Struthio camelus: one gene and its partners. The protein of the gene in region 2 purifies or fractionates together with the protein of the main gene of each other region. This does not show direct contact. Links are inferred from orthologs where the notes say so. Each region holds a gene or a part of one and is shown on either strand. Other genes may lie near its edges.

Region 1 (7,402 bases), on a different chromosome or scaffold from region 2:
CTCGGGTCGATACCGGAGGGCTCCGGCCCGGTTCGGTTCAGCACCGGAGAGGTCCGGTGCCGGTACCGGTGCCGGTGCCGCGGGGTTACCTGAGCGGCGCGGACGAACGGGTCGGGTCGGGTCGGGTCGGGTCGGGTCGGGTCGGAGGGGTCGGACCGGCAGCGGCGGCGGCGGCGGGGAGCGGGGCCGGGCACCGGCCTTTATAGCCCCGAGGCCGCGCCGCCCCCCCGCCTCGGCCCGCCCCCGGGGGGTACCGGGGGGTCCGGGGCCACCGGAGGGTCCGGGGCACCGGGGTGGTCCAGGAAACGGGGGAGGTCCCGGAGCACCAGGGGGTCCGGCACATCGGGGGGTCCCGGGACACCGGGGGGTACCGGGGGGGGCCGGTACCACCCGCCACTGGGTTACATCGAGCTGGACCGGGCGGGGGGGGGGGGGCAAAACCGGGACTAGGGAGGTAAAGCTGGGACGAGGGTCGGGGGGGGAAAACCGACCCCAGGGGGTTAAAACCAGGACCGGGGGGTGCAAAACCAAACCCGGGGTTTGGGGAGGGTAAAACTGAGCCTAGGGGGCAAAACCAAGACCAAGGGGCGGAACCAAGACCAGGGGGGTAAAACCAGGCCCAGGGAGGGCAGAAGGGCCCCAGGCAGCCCCGGTGCGATGGGCCCGGCCTCACCGGGACCCTCCAGGCCCCCCCTGCACCGAGCGGGTCAGGCCTCAGCGGCGGCGGGTGGCCAGCGGGCACCCTGCCCGGCAGCTGCCCGGCCCTGAAATACGGCCGCGAGGTGGGGCCGGGCGCTGGGCCAGCCAGGCGCCCGCTGCGTCCGGCCCTCGCACGCGCGCCCTTGCACGGCGCCCTGTGCCTTCCATGGGTGTCCTGTGCCTTGCATGGGTGCCCTGCACCCTACATGGGCACCCTGCACCTTGCATGGGCGTCCTGCACCCCACATGGGCAGCTTGCACCCTACATGGGCACCCTGAGCCTTGCATGGGCGTCCTGCACCCCACATGGGTGTCCTGCACCCCACATGGGCACCCTGTGCTTTGCATGGGCACCCTGCACCTTGCATGGGTGTCCTGCACCCTACATGGGCACCCTGTGCCTTGCATGGGTGTCCTGCACCTTGCATGGGTGTCCTGCACCCCACATGGGCACCCTCTGCTTTGCATGGGTGTCCTGCACCTTGCATGGGTGTCCTGCACCCCACATGGGCAGCTTGCACCCTACATGGGCACCCTGTGCCTTGCATGGGTGTCCTGCACCCCACATGGGTGTCCTGCACCCCACATGGGCACCCTGTGCCTTGCATGGGTGTCCTGCACCCCACATGGGCACCCTCTGCTTTGCATGGGTGTCCTGCACCTTGCATGGGTGTCCTGCACCCCACATGGGCAGCTTGCACCCTACATGGGCACCCTGAGCCTTGCATGGGCGTCCTGCACCCCACATGGGTGTCCTGCACCCCACATGGGCACCCTGTGCTTTGCATGGGCACCCTGCACCTTGCATGGGTGTCCTGCACCCCACATGGGCACCCTGTGCCTTGCATGGGTGTCCTGCACCTTGCATGGGCGTCCTGCACCCCACATGGGTGTCCTGCACCCCACATGGGCACCCTGTGCTTTGCATGGGCACCCTGCACCTTGCATGGGTGTCCTGCACCCCACATGGGCACCCTGTGCCTTGCATGGGTGTCCTGCACCTTGCATGGGTGTCCTGCACCCCACATGGGCACCCTCTGCTTTGCATGGGTGTCCTGCACCTTGCATGGGTGTCCTGCACCCCACATGGGCAGCTTGCACCCTACATGGGCACCCTGTGCCTTGCATGGGTGTCCTGCACCCCACATGGGTGTCCTGCACCCCACATGGGCACCCTGTGCTTTGCATGGGCACCCTGCACCTTGCATGGGTGTCCTGCACCCCACATGGGCACCCTGTGCCTTGCATGGGTGTCCTGCACCTTGCATGGGTGTTCTGCACCCCACATGGGCACCCTGCGCCTTGCATGGGCACCCTGCACCTTGCACAGGTGTCCTGCACCCCACATGGGCACCCTGTGCCTTGCATGGGTGTTCTGCACCCTACATGGGCACCCTGCACCTTGCACAGGTGTCCTACACCCTGCATGGACACCCTGTGCCTTACATGGGTGTCCTGCACCTTGAGTGGGTGTTCTGCACCCAACATGGGCACCCTGCACCTTTCATAGGTGTCCTGCACCTTGCATGGGCACCCTGCACCTTGCGTGGGCACCCGGCACCCTGCACAGGGCTCGCTGTTCCACCTCCCGCACCCCGGTCCTTGCCCGCTGCGCCCCCTCCTCGCACACGCGGATGTGGGTGCGGGACGGGGAGAGGGTGGAGGGAGGGCGGGATGGAGAGAGGAAATGGAGGGAGAGAGAAGGGAAAGGAGAGAGGGCCGGGCAGAGCGTGGGAGGGATGGCGAGAGGGAGGGAGGAGAAGAGATGGCAGGAGGAGATGGAGGAAGAGAGGAAGGGATGGAGGGAGGAAGGGAGAGGGACGGAGGCAGGGAGAGAGGGATGGTGGGACGGATGAGGGAGCAGCGGAGGGGTAGAGGAGATGGAGGGAGGTGTAGGAGGGAGGGAGAAGGATGGCAGGAGGTGGCGGTGGATGAGAGGGATGGGTGGCGTGATGAAAAGAGGATGGAGGGATGGAGAGAGAGATGGAGGGATGAACAGAGAGGCTAGAGGGAGAGAGGGATGGAGAGATGGAGGAGGGATGGAGAGATGGATGAACAGAGAGGATAGAGGGAGAGAGGGATGGGGAGATGGAAGGAGGGATGGAGAGATGGAGGAGGGATGGAGAGATGGATGAACAGAGAGGATAGAGGGAGAGAGGGATGGGGAGATGGAAGGAGGGATGGAGAGATGGAGGAGGGATGGAGAGATGGATGAACAGAGAGGATAGAGGGAGAGAGGGATGGGGAGATGGAAGGAGGGATGGAGGAACGGTGGCGGGAGAGGGGAGATGGAGGCAGGGATAGATGGAGAGAGGGATGGAGAGAGAGGGGGAGACCCAGGTGAGGAGAGGCCGGCCACAAGGGTCTCCCCCCTCACCTCCCCCAGCGCCAGGTCCACGGGTGCCCCTTGGGGACACGGTGGCACCCCCGTCCCCAGGCCGGGGAGGCCACCGGTGGGTGGCACAAGCCATCCCCACGCCCAAAATAGCCGCGGAGGGTGCCAGCAGCGCCCCGTCCCCCATGTCACCCACACCCCCAGGGCGTGGGGTCCCTGCTGTGGGTGCTGGGTTGGGGGGGGAGGTCAGGGTGCTGGGGACACCCAGCGGGTGCCGTGACCCTGGGGAAGGATCCGCTGGATCAGGGCAATTCTAGCCGGGGACGAGCCTCCCCCCCCCTCCCCACCCGGTATTTTTAGGCCGGGTCCGGTTACCCGCGGGGATCCGGTGTCGGGCCGGGCGGTGGGGCGGGGGGGAAGCGGGTGCTGGGGACCCCCACGGGGGGACCGGGAGGGCCAGGCGGCGGGGACACTGTGAGGGCACCCACCACCCCGCATGGGGCCCTGCGGGGGAAACCGAGGCAGGGAGTGGGGTACCCCCCGCCGGGTGGCCCCAGGCACCCAGGGGTGGGCGAGCCCCCCTCCCCGTGCTATGGTGGGGGGGGATGTTGGGCTGTGGGTGCCCCCCCAGGCAGGGCAGGGCACCTGCACCCATGGCAGGGTGGGGGGGGTGAGGGACACCTCGGTACCCCCGGAGTGTACGTGGGGGGGCTGTCTGGGTGTCCCCAGGGTGTGTATGGGGGGGTCTAGGTGACGCCAGAATGGGCATGGGGGGGCCTGGAACCCCCACAGGGTGGGTATGGGGAGGTCTGGGTGACCCCAGGGTGGGCACGGGGGGGTCTGGAGCTCCCCAGGGTGGGTATGGGTGACCCCAGGGTGGGCATTGGGAAGTCCTGCAGCCCCCCAGGGTGGGTATGGGGGGGTCTGGGTGCCCCTGGGGTGGGCGGGGGGGGTCCAGAGCCCCCCAAGGTGGGTATGGGGGGGGTCTGGGTGCCCCTGAAGTGGGCAGGGGGTGGTCTGGAGCCCCCCAGGGTGGGTATGGGGGGGTCTGGGTGCCCCTGGGGTGGGCGGGGGGGGGTCCGGAGCCCCCCAGGGTGGGACGGGGGTGCCAATAGGGTGCCCCATAGCACTGGGGGGGTCCCCTTGTCCTTGGGGTGCCCCCTAACCCCGGCGGTGCCCCCCCCTCTCCCGGGGCCGCCTCAGGGCGCCCCCCGCTCCCGCTGAGGCGGCCCAAGATGGCGGCGGCGGGGGCGGCGCGCGGGGCATTGTGGGGCGGCGGCGGCCGCAGGTGAGCGGCGGTGGCCGAGGGGCGGGAGGGGGGGGAGGCGGCGATGCCGGAGCCCGGCGGCAGGTGCGTACGGGCGGCCGGTTCGAGCCGGGGCCGCCGGTTTCGCTCCCGGGGGGGGGGTGGGGAGGGAAGATACCGGTTTTGAAGGTGGGAGGGGGTGTCCGGTTTTGGGGGAAGAGGTGTGTGTGTGTGTGGGGGGGGTCCGGTCCGGGAGCGGGTTGGGGGGGGGGGCGTCGGGCTCTCCCGCTCCCGGTGCGCTGCGCTGGCTCGGCCCGAGCCGACCGGGGGGCTCCGCCCGGTGCCGCCACCGCCGGTGGGGCCGGGCCGGGGGGCGCGCGCGGGGCGGGGCGGGGCGGGGCGGGGCGGGGGGACCCACGGCGCATGCGCGCGGGAGGGGCGGGGGGCTGTGGATGGTCGCGTGCGCATGCGCGCGGGGGGGGCCGGGAGGGGGGGCCGGGGAGGGGCGCGTGCGCATGCGCACGACTGCGAAGGGAGGGGGGCGCGCGTGCAAGGGGGATGGGCGCGTGTGCGCATGCGCTTGCCGGGGGTGGGGCGGGGCGCGTGCACGGGAGGGGGCGCGTGCACGCGGGCGTGCAAGGGTGCGCAAAAGGTGGGGGCGGGTGTGATCACCGGTGTGCAAGAAGGGGGGGGTTGCGTTTGCACGCGCACACACGTGCAAAGTGGGGGGGGGGCACACGCATGTGCCTCTGCCCACAAAGCCCGGGTGTGTGGGCCCGTGGGCGTGCGAAGCTGGGTTGTGCGTGCAAAGCCCAGTCGTACAGGCACATGCGCGTGCAAAGCCTGGTGGCGTGCACGTGCGAGTGCAAAGCCCGGTTTTAGTGCGCGTGCACCATTGCAAAACCAGGTGGGGCATGCACGCGTGAGTGCAAAGGCAGGTTGTGTGTGCAAAGCCCAGTTGTGCACGCCCGGGCGTGTGATTGTGTGTGCAAAGCTAGCTTGTGTGCACACATGCGAATGCAAAGTCGAGGTTTTGTGTGCACGCACAAGTGCAACATGGGTGACACAAAGCCGGGTTTGTGCAAAGCCCCGGGCGAGGGCTGAGAGTATGCACGCGAGCGTGCAAGCCTGGAGATGGTGCCAGGCCAGGTGGCTGGGCTGGGGGAGGGGGGCATTGCGCGTGCACATACGTGTGCAAAACCAGGCTGCACGTGTGGGCCAAGGTGGGCGCACGTGAGCTGGGGCGTGGGTGCACGAGGCCTTTGCACGTGGCGCCCGTGGGCGAGCGTGGGCACGCTGGCCGCATCACCCGGGCAGAGCCGCCCCGGGGCACCGCACCCCTGCTGGGTGCAGGCTCCTCTGCCCGGCTCTGGCACCCGTGCCTGCACCCGTGCAAGATATCCATGGCTGGCTCTGGCACCCGTGCATCCAGGGCCAGCACCCATGTCTGCCTCCAGCACCCGTGCATGACACCCGTGCATGACACCCATGCCCACCTCTGGCATCCGTGCATGTCACCTGTGCATGTCACCCATGCCCACCTCTGGCACCCGTGCCCGGCACCCGTGCATGGCACCCATGCCTGCTTCTGACACGCATGCATGGCACCCTTGCCCAGCTCCAGCACCCGTGCCCAGCACCCATGCCTGACCCCCGTGCCCACCTCTGGCACCTGTGCCCAGCACCCATAAGAGACATCCATGCCTGGCTTCGGCACCCGTGCATGGGATCCAAGCCCAGCACCCATACCCGCCTACAGCACCCGTGCCTGACACCCATGCCCACCACTGGCACCTGTGCATGGCACCCATGCCCAGCACCCATGCGTGACATCCATGCCTGGCTCTGACACCTGTGCATGGCACCCATGGATGTCACCCGTGCATGGCACCCATGCATGACACCCATGCATGACGCCTGTGCCCAAAAGCAGCACCCATGCCCAGCCCGGCCACCCGTGCCCATCTCAGCACCCATCCCTGCAGCGCGGTGACCCCCTCCCACCCCTCCGCTCCCGCAGGCTCGACAGCCCCATGGCAGCACCCGGCGGGGACCCGGCGGGCCGCCCGGCACCCGACGCCCTGGTGACGGGCACCCGGCAGGTGGTGAAGGGGCTGGAGGCGCTGCGCACCGAGAGCCGCCAGCTGCTGCGGGTGCTGGAGCCGGGGGCACCCTGCGACACCCCGGAGCTGCTGGCCGAGAAGCGGGAGCTGGCGCGGCGCTCGCTTGACGGCATCGAGCTGGGCCTGGACGAAGCGGAGGTACGCGGCGGGCGGGTGGGTGCTGGGTGGGTGTTAGGTGCTAGAGGTGGGCTGCTGGGACGGCGCTGGCTGCTGGAGCCAGGGTGGGTGCCGGAGCCAGAGCTGGGTGCTAGAGCTGGGACAGGTGCTGGAGTTGGATGCTAGAGCTGGATACCGGAGCTGGGATGGGTGCTGGGTACTAGAGCTGAGTGCTGGGTGCTAGAGTTGGGTGCTGGAGCTGGGATGGGTGCTGGGTACCAGAGCTGGGTGCTAGAGCTGGGATGGGTGCTGGGTACCAGAGCTGGGTGCTAGAGTCAAGTGCTGGAGCTGGGATGGGTGCTAGAGCCAAGTGGTGGGTGCTAGAGCCAAGTGCTGGAGCTGGGATGGGTGCTGGGTACCAGAGCTGGGTGCTAGAGCTGGGATGGGTGCGGGGTACCAGAGCTGGGTGCTAGAGCCAAGTGCTAGAGCTGGGATGGGTGCTGGGTACCAGAGCTGGGTGCTAGAGCCAAGTGCTAGAGCTGGGATGGGTGCTGGGTACCAGAGCTGGGTGCTAGAGCCAAGTGCTGGAGCTGAGATGGGTGCTAGAGCCGAGTGGTGGGTGCTAGAGCTGGGCACTGGAGCTGGGATGGGTACTGGGTACCAGAGCTGGGTGCTAGAGCTGGGATGGGTGCTAGAGCCAGAGCTGGGTGCTAGATCCAAGTGCTGGGTGCTAGAGCTGGGATGGATGCTGGGTGCTACAGCTAGGTGCTGGGTGCTAGAGCCAGGTGCTGGAGCCTGGATGGGTGCTGGAGCCAGAGCTGGGTGCTAGAGCAGGTGCCAGGTGCCCCATCCGTGCCCGACACCCTCCCTCTGCCCCCAGCTGCTGCTGGGGCTGTGGGCGCA
Region 2 (7,765 bases):
CTAAAGAATACGTTCATATGCCGTTTTTTCAAAGGTTGTTTATGATATGGACAGGCTTGAGTAGTTTTACATGATTAAAAGTAGAGCCTTGACATGGATTTCCCTATGAAATTTCAATCCTTAGGTTAACACTGCTATAACTTGTACAATAATTTTCCTTTAGCAACAACAACAAGCAATGTATCTCTAATCTTACTCTCAAAAACCACTACGCTATTTTTGCTGCCACTGTAAAAAAAAAAATTGCTTGAGGCAAGCACACAGCAAGCAAAAATACAAGCCAGTGGTGATTTTAGCAGAGATTACAAGCAATGGAAAAAGAAATTAGAATAGCCCTTCTCCAAATAAGACTCAGAATCAATGCTTTAGAGAGTAAGCTTACAGAATTTTTGCATGCTTTTGCATAAAGTAGCCAAAATAAACATATGTTATTCCTGGAGCTTAATTTTGCTTTTAATTGGTCTAATATTGTTAGAAACAATTAAATATGGTCTTAGTAATTAGGAGTAAATTAGAGGTCAACTTCTGCATTTTATGCCTTTCTAGTAAAAAAAAAAAAATAATTACTCATACTTATGACAAGAAATTTATGTGCATCAGGAGCTGCATCCTCAATGCATGTTTCATCCTGCTAGTTCATACTAAAGCCTAAACTTGACTGGGACAGGAAACACATTCCAACATTGAATCATTTGGTGGAGCAAAAGGAAGCTTTATAATTTTATAACTGAATGAGACCTTTAGATAATCGAGTTTGACTCCAGTAGTATCTTAGGCCACTGAATTTCACCCATTCAACCTTCTGTTAATCTCAGCTTAGTTAGCTACTGAGTTCCCCAAGCTGAATTGACTGAACACGCTCAGTTTGTTTGCTGGTAAAGAGACTTTAAAATGTATTTGAATAAGCTGTCTGAAATAAAATCTTGTTACTTCTAATGAAGGCTTTTCCAGTGTCAAGCAATGACACTAGACTTCACAAATTATCTTAAGAACCTTTATTGACAGAGGGTGTTACACGTAACAAAGAATTTTGTTCCAAGTGCAGCACATCTAGCAAACTAATCACCCATTTGTCCTACAAGTCGATTTACAAATTCAGAATAAACTTGACCTAGAATGCACCTTAGATTCTGAAAAGTAGTGTGCTATATTTTTCCAGCATATTGCAAATCAAAATGAAAAGAGCACTTGTGTTTGCATCAGGAACACTGAATTTCAACAAGTACTGTCAACTGATGAATCTACCATCTCAGAATTTCATTCTTTAAGGGGCAGGAGGAAGCAGCTTTAATTTGCTTCTCTGCAAACACCTGCTTTAAAGATTTATCCAAATATGCAATATTCTTTTAAGATCAAATCAAGATTACTGTCACTCTGCCAAAACAATTTTCATGGTTAATTACATCAATATCCAGATAGAGTTTCACTGTAAGCCCCTTTGCTGAACATGCTGATCTTTTAATGCCAGGAAGATACTAGAGATCTAAAGGAACTGCAAATCATAAAAGAATTTCTAGAGGATTATTGCACAGATCATAGATGAGAAGAAACATAGCGAACTAGTAGATATAAAGTGGTTAGATAAACTACTTTTATTAAAAGACGTTGGTCTTTACTGAGAAACTTTACTATACTTGTTTATTAGATAAATTGTTTCTTTAGAAAATATATTTCACTTATGAGGCTCAAGTATCAGATGGAAAGATTCACTTTTTAATGACAACTAATATGCCATATTTTCTCACTATAACAGACTTTAAACGGTCTTTCACCCTAAATAATTGAAAAAGTATGGTATAAACAGGTAATTACATATTCCAGAAGAAGTAAAATATATTTCCAATTAAAAATGAAAGAGAATTTTTTCATCGTGACAAAATTGGAAACTTGGCAGGACATTTGGTCTCTGCCCTGCTTTTGGGAAAGCGGCACCACATCTTTAAGCACAAGTCATCAAGACTGCTGTTTGATATCCTATTTTAGAGCCAACAGAGATAACACACTGCTCTCTTTGAATATGCTGCAGCATTGTTAGACTGTAAATAGGTCACGTAAAAGAATGGTTGCTGAACATTTTGAAGAGCAGACCACAGAAGACAATCTTCATGACCGAATACCTGGAATGAATACGAGAACACGCATGTTTAGTTCAAGGGAACTCATTTAGTAAGGTTTCCCATAGCCAGTATGGGAGATACCGTCAACCACGGTCTCCCACGAGCTTGCATGGAACCAACAGCCTAGAAGCGGTCAGATCCTTCTACACAGTTCACACATCCCGGTATTTTTTTGTTACAGCATAATTAAAAAGAGCAACTACCTATTCACGAGTCTATACTGTCTCTTTGTAAAGTGTATGCTGTTTGAAACATTGAAAAGATAAGCAGGCCTAAGCATTTATTTTCTCGAGAACCATTTCATTACGAGCTTTTTTCCTTTACCGAGTTGTTCTTACTTTGAGTACTGTGTGTCAGCAAATGTAGCTAATGATATATCCCCTTCGGTTGTGGATAATGATAATGACAAGTTTCCCAAATAGACTAGGGTAAAGGATACATCACCAGCTGAAACATTCTGGGAGTAATAATCATGAAGTTGTTGATTTTGCAGCTAACATTTATTTTTCCTCACTTATTAAAGAAAACGAATTGCAAAAGTAGTAAATAGTTTATGTGCCCTTCATAAAAATAATAACCTCCTGTCACAGGAAATCTGTAAGGATCCAAACCCAGCAGCTGTACAAACATATGCCTACCCATAAGCACGTGGACAGTCCAAGAAATAGTTGAGTTAGACATATTAATATATCTTGCTGACTGGGATTTAAATTCACAAATTCTAAAATAGAATTCAACAAAAATAGGCTTTCTCACATTTTAAGGAGAACCACCATTATATTTTATTGACAATACGTTTCATTGAAACAGTTAAGCAGAACCATCATATGCTAGATGCTGTGGGGCAGCAGTGCACCTTCTGCAGGCGGAGTATACAGCCTGGCCTTATCAAACAGCTAAAGAGCGCTGGTAGGTTGGGTGGTGTAATTGTTGCTGCTCCGATCAAGGCGGCATAGTCCTGCAGCAGTTTTAACTACAGCAGAAAAATAAACTTGTTACAACATGATCTCAATTTAGAAGACTTAGAGCTTACCTCAGAACATCAAACAAGGTGCAAAAAATATTTTTTCTATGACAGTATGAAAAAAAGCTGTAGACGAAATTAGGTTATTAGGTAACTTTCCTGCCATGTGGATTAGCATGGAGAAATTTTGAAGCAACATCCGCCTTCTTTACCTATACTAAGTAAAAACACACCATTCAAAACCCTGCAGTAAGAAGGGCCTTGAAAATGGAGGCTGCTTGATTTCAGATGGTCCCTATTAAAATTCACAAACATGTACCCTTTTCTAATGAAAAAGAGAGTACTTTCAAAGGAATGACATTGCTATTCTGAGTCGTTCTGGCCTACTAAAATTTACTAATTTAAGAGGACTCCCTCATTTTTCATTAATTTCAAGGCCATTTTAAAAGTTTCCAGCACAGATGGCGATTTCTGACAGGAAGTTGACTTACTGAGCTGAGCTGTAAATCTGTACTTTGACCCGGTTTGAAAGTTCATATTATACCTAGATGTAAAGGGGTATGGCAGTAAAATCTTGAAACTCTTCTGAGAGCCTCTGATCTGAATGGCTTACCTAACAACTTTTTAAATCTAGATACCGTCAGTAAATATCCATGGATTAGCATTGCAGTTCTATTTAATCTGTATTGAATAAAACTTGTGATAAAGGAAACTTTAGAAAACTATCGTGCATATTCTTTCTTCATTGGAACGGAAAGGTAGGGAGAGACTTCTTCACGGGAAACGAACTGTAAAGGCTGTGTATCCTTGCAACGCCCTCCTAAGAACGTGACCTGCAGACTCCCTAGCCCCACAAGACCTCCATAGGTTTCCGGAAAAGGAATTAGTTCGGGGGAAATTTTGAAAATACTGACAGTTCCATTGGCAGGCTTTCTGTGCATACTCATGCTTTTTTTTTTTTTTTTTTTAATTCTGCTGAACAAAGGCAAAAAAGAGTCAAGACAGTTCGGAGGTTTCTCTCTCCAGCGCCTTAACTTCACGCCCGCTAAAGCTGGTAGGTCAGTTTTCAGGCTCGCCCTGCCTTGGAGGGCCGGCCCGGCCGCAGGCAGAGGGCTGTGTCGCGCCCCCCCCTCACAGCCACGAAGCGCCCGGCGCCGGCCGTTAGCGCGGGAACGCCGCCGCCTGCCTGAGGCGCGCGCCCCGTCCCCTCAGGGCTAACGGCCCCTGAGGGCCCCGGCCCCTCAGGGAGACGAGGTCTCCCGCCATGCGGTACCGTGGCCAACGTTAGCCCCGGCCGTGCGCCCGCAAAACGGCTCCGCTGCGTGCGTGAGGGGAGCGGGGGCGGGGGGGTGGGGGGACGCTGGCCACGGTCACGGCCACGGTCAGGCTAGGTACAGCGGGCGGGACGAAGCTCTCACACGCGCCCCTATCACACCCTTCTCCCCAGGCTCGGAGGGAGCCACGCCCCCACAAGACCACGCCCCCACAAGACCACGCCCCCCACAAGACCACGCCCCCACAAGACCACGCCCCCACAAGACCACGCCCCCTCGCGCTGGCTGCGCCTGCCCGGTGCGAGCGTTGGCACCCCCGACGCCTATCCTCCCGCCGGGTGGTCTCCCTCCCTCCTCCCCAGCGACGGCTTCGCGCCTGCGCCGTCGAGCTCCCGTCGTGGCCGGGCCCCTCGCCTGTGCCCCGCCGCGCCTGCGCGGCACCTCCGAGCCGAGGGGGCGGGGTTGGGGGGGGGGGGGTTCTGCAGAGGGTGACGTCACCGCCTCTTTGCCCTGCCGTCCGCGCCGCCTCTGCCCGGGAGGGGAGGGTCGGGACTTGCCGGCTGCAGGCGCCGCCATGGCTGCCATATTGGGGAGGAAGTGAGAGCAGGAGGCGGCCGTGGCGGCCAGGAAGGAGCCCTTCCCTTTTCCCTTCTGCTTAGGCGGACGCGGGCCTCCCGGCAGCGGCGGCAACGGCGGCTTGTGAGACCCCCGGAGCGGGCGGCGCAGAGGCAGCAGCGGGTAGCGGCGGAGCTGAGCGCCCCGGAGGCGGCGGCGTTGGCCTAAGATGGCGGACCCGGCGGAGTGTAACATCAAAGTGATGTGTCGCTTCAGGCCCCTCAACGAGTCCGAAGTGGCCCGTGGCGACAAGTACGTCGCCAAGTTTCAAGGCGAAGACACCGTCGTCATCGCGGTGAGGGGCCGCCCCGGATGGGAAAGGCGGGGGGTGGGGAGGAAGGCGCCGGGGGGAGGGGGTGTGCGGGCGGTGGGGTCACATACCGCGGGGATGGGCGCGGTGTGAGGCGAGAGGCTGGGCCGCGGCGGAGAGGGGTGGCTGTTTTGGGGTGGGGGGGAGTGGGAAGGGGAGGAGGGCAGGGCAGAGCGGTAAAGAGAACCGGCTAGGATGGAGGTGGGCATGGCGGGGCAGAGAGGAGAGCTCGGGGAGCGGTTGGAGGGGGTGCATCCCCTGGCCGTGCATGTGTGGTTGCAGGACGTTCCCGTGGTAGCAGGTCAGGAAACATGGACAAAGGCTCTAGCAAAAGGCTTGCAACTTGGGGCGTAACTGGAGTTGTCGTTGCTGAGCCCGAGCCACAGGGCAGGCTTCACTGTGGCCACGGAAGACGTGCGAGTTAGGAGCTGGAGCAACAGACGAGTCCTGCAGAGTGTCCCCTGGCTAGGCTGCGCCTGGTTTTGGCCACCGTGAAGAGTTTGGCCGCTGAATAAATAGTCGTTCAAAAAGTGTGCATTGGAACTAGCAGCGACGTAATTATCAACAGAAAGATTTTAGAAAGAAAACGCGCAGCAACGTGAGCTCTGCTTGACTGATCTGTAAATCAGTCATGGGCTGATAACTTCTTTTAAAGAAGAATGAACTGAGACTTTTTGACTTATTACATGTTTATGAATGCGTTTTAACGTAAGTCATCTAATAAGGTATGAGAGCTTTTACATAGCAATCTGAAAGTTTCAGGGGAGAAGATAGTCCTAGCCTTGCTGTTCATTGTGTCACATTTAGCTACAAAGTGGAGCTGGAACATAAAGCACAGTAGCTTATTGCCTGGTTTAGTTGGTATTCTGCAAATACGCGCTTTATTCCCAATGCTTGTGTTCTATCTCTGCTAACTTTTAATCATTCTCTAGAGACGATCCTGGTTCTGCATTGCTAAACGCAGAACTTAGAAATGTCAGTTGATTATTTTTCTTTAAATTTTGTTTTTGTTACTCTCTTTGTTAAGGTTACCAGTACTACCTCTTTCTCACAGTATCTGAACTTTGAAGAAGACATTAATAGCATCAGTTTTTTTTAAATATGTCATATTAAATACTAGTGCTTTATTCTGTTTGAATTCAACTGATTTTGCAAATACAATATGGAATTCCATCAGTTCTCAGCTGCAAGAAAACTAGAGTGCTTGTGAAATGAGGTAAATTTGGGCCTCTTTCAGCTGACAAGTTGTTAACTTGGAGTAGACCTCTTCTGACTGAGGTGGTACAGGTAAACTCCTCAGAGTAAGGAACTAAGCCTAGAAATGGAAATTAGAAATGGAAAACTAGAACAAATGATCTCACTCCATCAATGAGTATCCATTCATTGTGACACTGTATGATCTCTTTAAAATCCAGGATTAATTTCACAATTTTTTTTTTTCTGACTTTTTCATAGATGATGCATTTTCCACATCTTTTTTTTTCTTTCAGTAATTCTTGGGCTAAATTACAGCCGTTTCTAATGAAGTACACATCAAATAAGAAAAAGGAGGTGATCTGGAATGGACTTTAAAATGTTATTTCCACCCATGCGTTGCAGGTTGAATAGAATCTTCTGCATTCTCATCTGCAATAGTCTGCTTCTCACAATTAGACAGTTTAATTAGACAATTTAAAATTTTTTTAAGGCATTTACTACCAAACATTAAAACTAGAATTTCTCGTTGTTTGTGAATTGAGGAGAAAACTTTTATAGTGTTTAGATAGTCTTTAAATACTCTTTAAAATGTCTAAAATGTAAATTGGGCTGAGGTGGCACTAAATCTGTGTGGATCAATGTGATGTCATGGTCCTGAAGGAAAATGCAGGGCTCTTGCTGGGATTTGGTAGGGAGCTGGTATTTTTTATAACTTTGTCTAGTTTTAGTGTTTTCTGCATGAGGAAAAAACAAAAAATCCTTCAGTGATCTCAGGTCCAAGACTTGCTGTGTCTGACCTTGGAGAAAATACTGAAAAAAACCCATTAGATTATGGGAGCAGTGATGGTACTCGAGTCTTATTTTAATAGAGGATTGATGTTCTGGGATTCTGCTGTGTGTTTTTTTTTCGTTTTGTTTGTTTTGTTTTTAGTTGACTGAAGTTTTAAAAAGTTACCTTCCAACCTGAGGATATAGCTATCCAAACACATCTTGCCTGTGTTTTGTGGAATTGCTAAAGGGAGGACAGTAAAAGAAGCAGCTCTTCTCATGAAATGGTTTCTAAAAACATTTCTCCATAAGCTGTATGTTTGGTTGCTTTCAACTGTTTATTAGAATTTCTGTGTTTACAGCTACATGTGATATTGTCTGCCATTTGAACAGTGAGTTGAGCCTCTTTTTATTTATTATGTATATTTGCTTCCCTTGTCTGCTATTGCCCTCGAGCAGCCTGATGGAGGCTTCTGTTATGGCTTCTGTGTGTGCCAGGGTCTATGCTGAAACATTGAAC
Region 3 (6,965 bases), on a different chromosome or scaffold from region 2:
TCCTTGGAAAGGGAGCATGAGATGTACCAGGCATTTTTGGCAGTGGTCGTGCACAGAATGGCGCACTGTTCCTGCCCCCTGCCACGAATGGCAGCCTCAGCAGGCATGTAGCCCAGCAGGGAGCCATATACTGCAATTATTTCTGCAGACCTTACTGTTAGCCGTTCAGCATCTGTCCTTTAATTTCTGGCTCTTATTCCTAGCTGTAGCAGTTCTTAACTGTTACCCTGAAGCTGATTGTACGCCCATCTGTCTTTTCACTTGCAAAACATCCTTCTCTTGCTTTTGTTTCTGAAGTTTCAACATGTGTGCTTGCAGCTGCTCGGAGCTGTGAAGTTCTTGGGCACCACACAGAGCTGATCGTATTTCCTGTGTTCCCCCTATCAGAGCAGCTCTGGACACACCGCCTGTCACGTGCAACTTGGCAGCACCAGTGTGCGGTCCCTTTTCCGTGGCACTGTCACAGCTCACGTGGGGCGACGACCCTGGCCGCAGCAGTTCTGCTGGTAGTGATGTGACGGTGTGAATGTTTCCTGGCCTTGCAGCAGGAGCTTCCTAGCCTCTGTCTGTTTCCTTTCTGATGCCACAGGACAAAAAGCAGGAGAAAGCTTGTGCTTGTGACACAGCCTCTGGGACGGTTGCAACCCTGGGACTCTGTTTGCTTTTTATTGTTGTTATTTTATTTTTGAATGTCTAAGGCATTAGGTCTGGGTGTTGTTGCAGTGTCCCTTAGGAGTGGAGGCTCTGCAATTGCAGATTTCAGTCTCAGCTTAATTGGAGTTTGACCAGTCTTCCCAGAGATCTTTTATTGTGTTGTGTAACAGTAATGAGCTTGCAGAGGTGCAAAGGAAAAAAACCTCCCTGCCTCTATCAAGTTATGGTTTGCTTCCCAAATGCATAGCTTTCTTCATTTTCCAGGTAGTGAAGGCATGTCCCACAGCACATGACTGGGATGATTATTGTGAAAATAAGACTTCAGGTCCCATGTTTCCATCTCTAAAACACTATTGTTGCTATCCATCTCCCAAACTTGGTCTCTTGTTCTCACTAAGAATCAGTTTTATTCCTTCCCACAGAAAGTTTTCCTTTCCTTCTCTCCCCACCCCCGAAACCCAGTTGTTTTTCTACTGCCACCATATCCTTATATTGCTTTTTCCCACATAAGAGTGTGCTGCTAAAATTTTTACTTGCTCCTATACAAAAAGGACTGGCAGGCAATCCATGGCTTGAAGGAAGCTGCAGTTATTGTCTTGACAGTGTTGCTTGTGCAAGTCTTGACACTGCCCTGTGTCTGATACACACTTTGTCCGGGGACATCTGGGGAGACAGTGAAGGGAGCTGACTTTGTAGAGGCACGTGTAGAGGTGCAGGCAATGACCAACTCAAGTCTTTGTTCTTATTGTAGTTGACACCTGATTTTCCTGGTGATAATTTTGTTGCTCCCTGTGGTCTTCCAGCATTGGGCATCATGATCTAGACCCGTTTAGTCTGGCATCCTAGTTTCTGATGTGGCAGCTGTTGTGGGTTTAAGACACAAGCAGTGAAGCTTCCAGCTTTCCTCTTAAAGCTCTTGCACGTGGGAGCATTTTTCAGAGGCAGAAAAGTGGGCTGATGAAAGTGTTGATGCTCAGCAATTGCCTGGTTATACACTTGAATCGAGGAGGAAGGTTCCTGCCTAGCAGGACATGCCAGCTGGTGGATTCCCAGCTCATTGCTGCGACTGCCAGAAAGCTTGGTGCACGCATGTTCCTCCCCTGTCCTCCTGCAGCGCTCCTCCAAAGGAGAGCAGGGGAGGGGAGGGGAGACCCGTATTGCTGAAAAGCCAGACTGTTCCAGCAGCTTACTGCGAATAGGGAAGACGTGCCAAGTAGAGCAGAAACATGCTGCTGGAGACCTGGGCTGCAGCACCCGCAGAGCCGTAGGGGAGCCAGCAGGAGAAACTGGGAGCTGGACACTCCAGCTCCCAAGGATGCCCACTGGAAAAGCACCCTTTCTTCCTATTTCCAAACTGCCCGGCCTGAGCCTCCCCCTTCCAAAGGTAAAGGGTGGTGTCTCCCCGTCTCTGAGTGGATATTCTGCCTGGACAAAAGGCACTCGGTTCCCTTTGCTGAGCGTGTGGGAGTGGGAAGAGTGCTTACACAGCAGCCTCAGCCTGCTTGACCTTAGTGTCGGTTGCCATAGAGCGTGTTTGCTCTCTTGAGGGCTGTGCACTGGGCGTAGACCTGCCGGCACTGGGGAGAGCTAGAAATAAGGTGCTGTAAGGACAAACTGTCACTTTGGAGGGATAATAAACCATCTCTCACCAGCGTTTGTGGGCTTTCTTTCCTGTGCAGGAGGTAGCAGCATTTAAGCAACTCCTCTGCAGTTCTCTCTTTATTTCCTTGTCAGTACTTGGGAGGGGAATAGGACAGCCTGAGTGCTGTTGCCTGGTCTTATGCCCTTACGGGGGAGTGTCCAGCCTAGACAATCCCCCCCCCGCCACCACCCTTGCACGGGAAGTCAGAGTTGGGCGCTAAGCCTGTTGGTAGCTAGCAGAGCTGCGTGTCTGGGATATCGGAGTCTGCACACCTCTTAGGGAAGAAAGGTGAGGGCTGCGTAGGTATTTGCACAGCCGAAGAGATAAGGGATATCAGTATGTCTTGAGGATCCAAGGATCATTATATGCACTTCCAGGGTAGGTTAAGTCTGATGTGCCCTAAGTCAGCACGTTTTGCTTATTTTCCCTTCTCAGACACTCTGAAACGTTGAAAGTTGTGAAAGAAAGTTAATTGTGGGGACTGTGAAATGCTCTCAGCTTTTTCTGCTGGAAAGGCTGAAGAAAGACGGGATGCTGCTATTTTAACAGACAGCTCAGACTTCTCAGTCAAGGAGTAATTCTGTGCGTGGTGGAATTAATGAGGCTGATTTCATATGGATCTGGGTCTTGTCTGACTCTGTTATCTAGCAAGGTGCAAGTTCTGATGGTGACTTTTTGTCATGATTCATAATGTGTACCTCTCTCCCATGTGTTTGTAGTGTGCTTATCAAAGATGGCAGCAAGAGCTCATCCTCTCTGTAGGGGCATCCGTAATGCTTCCTTGAACACTGTCAGTGTTTCACAGATGACCCTATATGTGGAGGGACGGATGAAGAGGCGTTTGCAGGCTGCACAGCTGCGTGAGCTTTAGGGCAGAGCTCTAGTTTTGCTGTATGCTGGGTACGAGGCAGTCCCTGGGACCTCCTCATGTCTCTGAGCGTTGGCTCTGCTCCAGAGGACTCCTGTTTTCAGATTTCTCTGTTTTTGAGTCTAGGGCTGAGTTCCCTCCTGAGTTGAAGCTAGTGACAGGTCCGTTTTGCCCTTTAGCAGTTGTTACCTCAGCTTTGGTGGAAGCAGATAGGTATCTGCCCTGACTTCCTCTGGAGCCAGGAATCATTGCACATCTCTTCCTGAATTGCGCTCACCGGGAGAAGGCTTATTTTAGGTTTTGGGGGTTTATTTGTTTGGTTTTTCTCCTCTTGTTGCATTAACACTTAATTTCCCCCAGCCCCCCCTCCACCCCCACCCCCCACCCTCCGTGATGTTTTATAAAGATGGAGAAAAAGAAAAACTGGGGAATTATGGACCAGATGGATTCTCTAGGAACTGGCAGTTAAGCAATTTGGAAGAGAGGATGTGAGTGGCAGCCAACTCCCAACAGACCTCTCTTTTTTTTTTTTTTTTTTTTTTTTCCAAAGCAATAGTCTGTTAGTCTGTGCCCTGTGTCTTGACTCAAGTGAGGTTTTCCATGCTGTTCTTATCATGTTGTGTTCTCCTACACAAATGGGCAAATGTCACAGGCCGGATGAAACTTTTGGGAGTGAAGTGCAAAACGGTTGGGGTGACTGCATGCAGGGAATGACAGACGCTCAAAAGGGAAGGATACGACAAGCTTCTGCACAGGGCTGGTGCTGCTGATGGATCATGAGGTAAATATGAATTCAGCATTGTGACTTTGTGTGGGAGGACAGTCAATTCCTGCTGAAAGGTATGAAGAGGAGCCCAGTCTTCAAGCAACATGGTGTTTTTTTCTGCTCTGCTGAGGTTCAGTAAGGGTTCTGCTGTGCATTGAGAGCTCACTATGCTTTGCAAGGGGTGGAACAGAGACCAGAGAGGAGCTGAGAGGAGAGCTGGGGCCTGTAAAACAACTCGAGGAAGTTCTGGAGGAGTGAGGCTAACCAAGAGGAGACGGGTGGGGTGTCATGGGCTGTGTGTGCTCGCAGCATCTGCCCTGGCTCCATCCATCTTCTCTTTCCCTGCTGCAGTGAGGAGGAAATTGGTCCCCTCTCGTGCCCAGGGCCTGCTCCTAGACAAGACTGGTGGTAGCTGAGCTGGGGGATCGTCCTGAGCCCTCCTGGGCAAAGTGTGCAGCTGAGGAGGAGAGGAGGCTTGACGAGGAGGACGAGACATTCTTGCTGAGGGCGGCATTTCTGCTCGCTCTGTGAACCCAGGCCCAAGGCTGCTGCTGAACAAATTACTCAAAATCCTGCGGAGATAGGTCCTGCAGGAGGACAAACACAAATCCGCCAGGCGGCTCCTCAGCCTGTCCCGCCGCCACAGTGCTGTGTAACGCCTGGGCAGTCTGCCAGCAGGGTCCAGGGTGCTCAGCTTGCGCTGCCTCCTGCCAGCTCTGGGCCTGCAGAAGGGTGTCGCTGGGCAGATGCTGCTGCCTGCTGAGGGGCGTCGCATTGTGAGGCACGGCTCTCCCTAGCTCCTGAGTTTGCTATGCAGGGATCTTGCGGTCATGCTAACGTGGTGGATTGTAGCGCTCGGTGCCCCTGTGTAAAGGCAGTGGCTTGGTACTGTCTGTTGTATAGATGGGGAGAGTGAGACGGGGAAGGAGTGCAGAGTTCTTGTGCCATCCTGAGGAGTCCTTGGGCTGGCAGCAGGGCAAATGGAGCTGGGAAAGCTGCTGCTGTTTTAAGCTAACACCCACACAAGGGTTACGCTAGTATAACTTGCGCAGTTGGTGCATGTAAACTTCCCCACACAGACGTGCTTCAGTCAATGTTGGTGTTTTCGTGTCCCACAAGGGCTGTTCTGTGCCGGGGGCTGAGATTTTCGGGGTCCGCATTTGGTCAGGGAATTTGTTGACTGGTCTAGTAAGTCCACAGGTGCCTCCCAGTCTGAGAGGTACTCTTCTAGGGAATTTGAGGAAGCGGAAAGCTTTGAGCTGGCATCTCTCCACTTTCTATTCCCTTTCTTCTGCAGTCGGAAGAGGCGTTGAGCTCTGACAGCCTCCTCGCATCAGTGATTTGTGGGCGGGAGGTGTACGTGTTGCAGCCCCAGCTGCCGACTACAGATCTCTGCTCTTAAATGGAAGCTAAATCAGCTTTCCTTGCTGCCAGGGGTGTGGGGGTGTTGGAAGTCAGCGCTTGTTCTGGCCTTTTTGTCTGCTGTCCATGCGTGCCACCTGCCCTGTCTGCCAGTGCTCCATGCCACAGAAGCAGAGACACGTGCCCTGAGAGCTGCCTGCTGCCAAAGGGAGAGGGGAAGACAAAGGGGAAAGACTTAGTGTGGGTAACCAGTTGTACCCTGTCTCTGGCTGCCTGAAGGAGGCTTACACTTGTCTGATTGCAGCTCTCTGAAATAGCACTGAGGCTCCTGGGTTTTTGTCTCCCTCTCTGTGTAGGGCTGCGGTAGCAGGACTATGTCCACCATGGTGTACCCAAGGGAGGAGAAACTGGACAAGCTGAGCCAAGAGGAGATCATTTCCAACACCAAGCTGGTGATGCAGGGGCTGGAGGCACTGAAGAATGAACACAACTCCATCCTGCACAGCTTGCTGGAGACCATCAAGTGCCTGAAGAAGGATGAAGAAGCCAATCTCGTGCATGAGAAATCCAACCTGCTCCGCAAGTCAGTGGAGATGATCGAACTGGGGCTCGGAGAAGCTCAGGTGAGAGTGGCGAGTGCCCTCGTAGGTGGTAGCAAGAACTGATGGGGAAGGCAGGCATTTGGCTGTTTTTTGTAAGCTGCAGGGGCAGCAAAGAGCTGAAGGTAGAGGGCCAGGGTGACCCAGAGGGTGGGCCCTCCTGAGCTTGCGTGTTGTAGGGGATACAGGATTGTGGTAGGTACTGACTGGCCAGCTGGGACTTTTGGCAAGGTGATGATGGCATTGTCCAACCATCTGAACGCTGTGGAGTCGGAGAAGCAGAAGCTGCGCGCTCAGGTGCGGAGACTGTGCCAGGAGAACCAGTGGCTGCGTGATGAACTCGCCAACACCCAGCAGAAGCTGCAGCGCAGTGAGCAGACCGTGGCTCAGCTGGAGGAAGAGAAGAAACACCTTGAATTCATGAACCAGCTGAAGAAGTATGATGAGGATGTCTCTCCTTCGGTATGTTCTTGTCTGGGGGAACAGCTGCCTTTGTGCAGGGGGCTGGGACCAGTGGGATTGCCTAGGTTTAATAGCCTTGTCCCTTGCTGGCTTCCTTGCCCGGCAATACTTGGCTGCAACTAAAGGGAGACCGCATGGGGCAGGGTCTCGGGCAGAACGTGGGGAAGGGTGCCAGGGTGCGTTGGGGGATGTTGTGTTGGCTTCATTGGGTGGGAGGGGAAAGGTGGCAGAGGCCACAAGGAAGCTGAGGGCCTTGGTGGGCTGCAGTGGAGAGGAGAGATTGGCAGCTGATTTGGCCCAGGCTGCTGCCACCTCCTCTGAGAACCAACAGCATCGTGATCCCCATTCTTCCAGGAGGAGAAGGAGGGCGACTCCACCAAGGACTCTCTGGATGATCTGTTCCCCAATGAGGAGGAGGAGCACGGTCCTGGATGTAAGTGTTTGTGCTCATGCATGGTTGCCGACCACCTCTGTTTCAACCCGTTGTGCCCAATGTTGCCCCCGTTTACTCATCTGTGCCCACAGTGCCCCACCAGCACAGCAGTGCAGTGGCAGCTGCCCAGCAGGGAGGCTATGAGATCCCCGCACGCTTGCGTACCCTCCACAACCTTG

Evidence for each region. The genes of interacting proteins can lie anywhere in the genome.
Region 1: the proteins of KIF5B (region 2) and KLC3 purify together in Homo sapiens (affinity purification with mass spectrometry; 3 studies listed by BioGRID and IntAct, with this or other methods). This does not show direct contact. The link is inferred for Struthio camelus from reciprocal best matches to the Homo sapiens genes KIF5B and KLC3.
Region 3: the proteins of KIF5B (region 2) and KLC4 purify together in Homo sapiens (affinity purification with mass spectrometry; 4 studies listed by BioGRID and IntAct, with this or other methods). This does not show direct contact. The link is inferred for Struthio camelus from reciprocal best matches to the Homo sapiens genes KIF5B and KLC4.

The regions. Positions count from the first base shown.
Region 1 is NC_090957.1:1,405,606-1,413,007, reverse strand, and holds the start of KLC3 (kinesin light chain 3), read left to right. Parts: upstream 1-4,355; 5' UTR 4,356-4,365; coding exon 4,366-4,385; intron 4,386-6,300; coding exon 6,301-6,541; intron 6,542-7,379; coding exon 7,380-7,402. UniProt on the Homo sapiens protein: Kinesin is a microtubule-associated force-producing protein that may play a role in organelle transport. Plays a role during spermiogenesis in the development of the sperm tail midpiece and in the normal function of spermatozoa.
Region 2 is NC_090943.1:17,079,997-17,087,761, forward strand, and holds the start of KIF5B (kinesin-1 heavy chain), read left to right. Parts: upstream 1-4,652; 5' UTR 4,653-5,139; coding exon 5,140-5,265; intron 5,266-5,413; exon of another isoform or gene 5,414-5,475; coding exon of another isoform or gene 5,476-5,481; exon of another isoform or gene 5,482-5,976; coding exon of another isoform or gene 5,977-5,988; intron 5,989-7,765. UniProt on the Homo sapiens protein: Microtubule-dependent motor required for normal distribution of mitochondria and lysosomes. Can induce formation of neurite-like membrane protrusions in non-neuronal cells in a ZFYVE27-dependent manner.
Region 3 is NC_090944.1:148,108,842-148,115,806, forward strand, and holds the start of KLC4 (kinesin light chain 4), read left to right. Parts: upstream 1-3,918; 5' UTR 3,919-3,933; coding exon 3,934-3,945; intron 3,946-5,227; exon of another isoform or gene 5,228-5,532; intron 5,533-5,648; coding exon 5,649-5,915; intron 5,916-6,122; coding exon 6,123-6,353; intron 6,354-6,707; coding exon 6,708-6,786; intron 6,787-6,878; coding exon 6,879-6,965.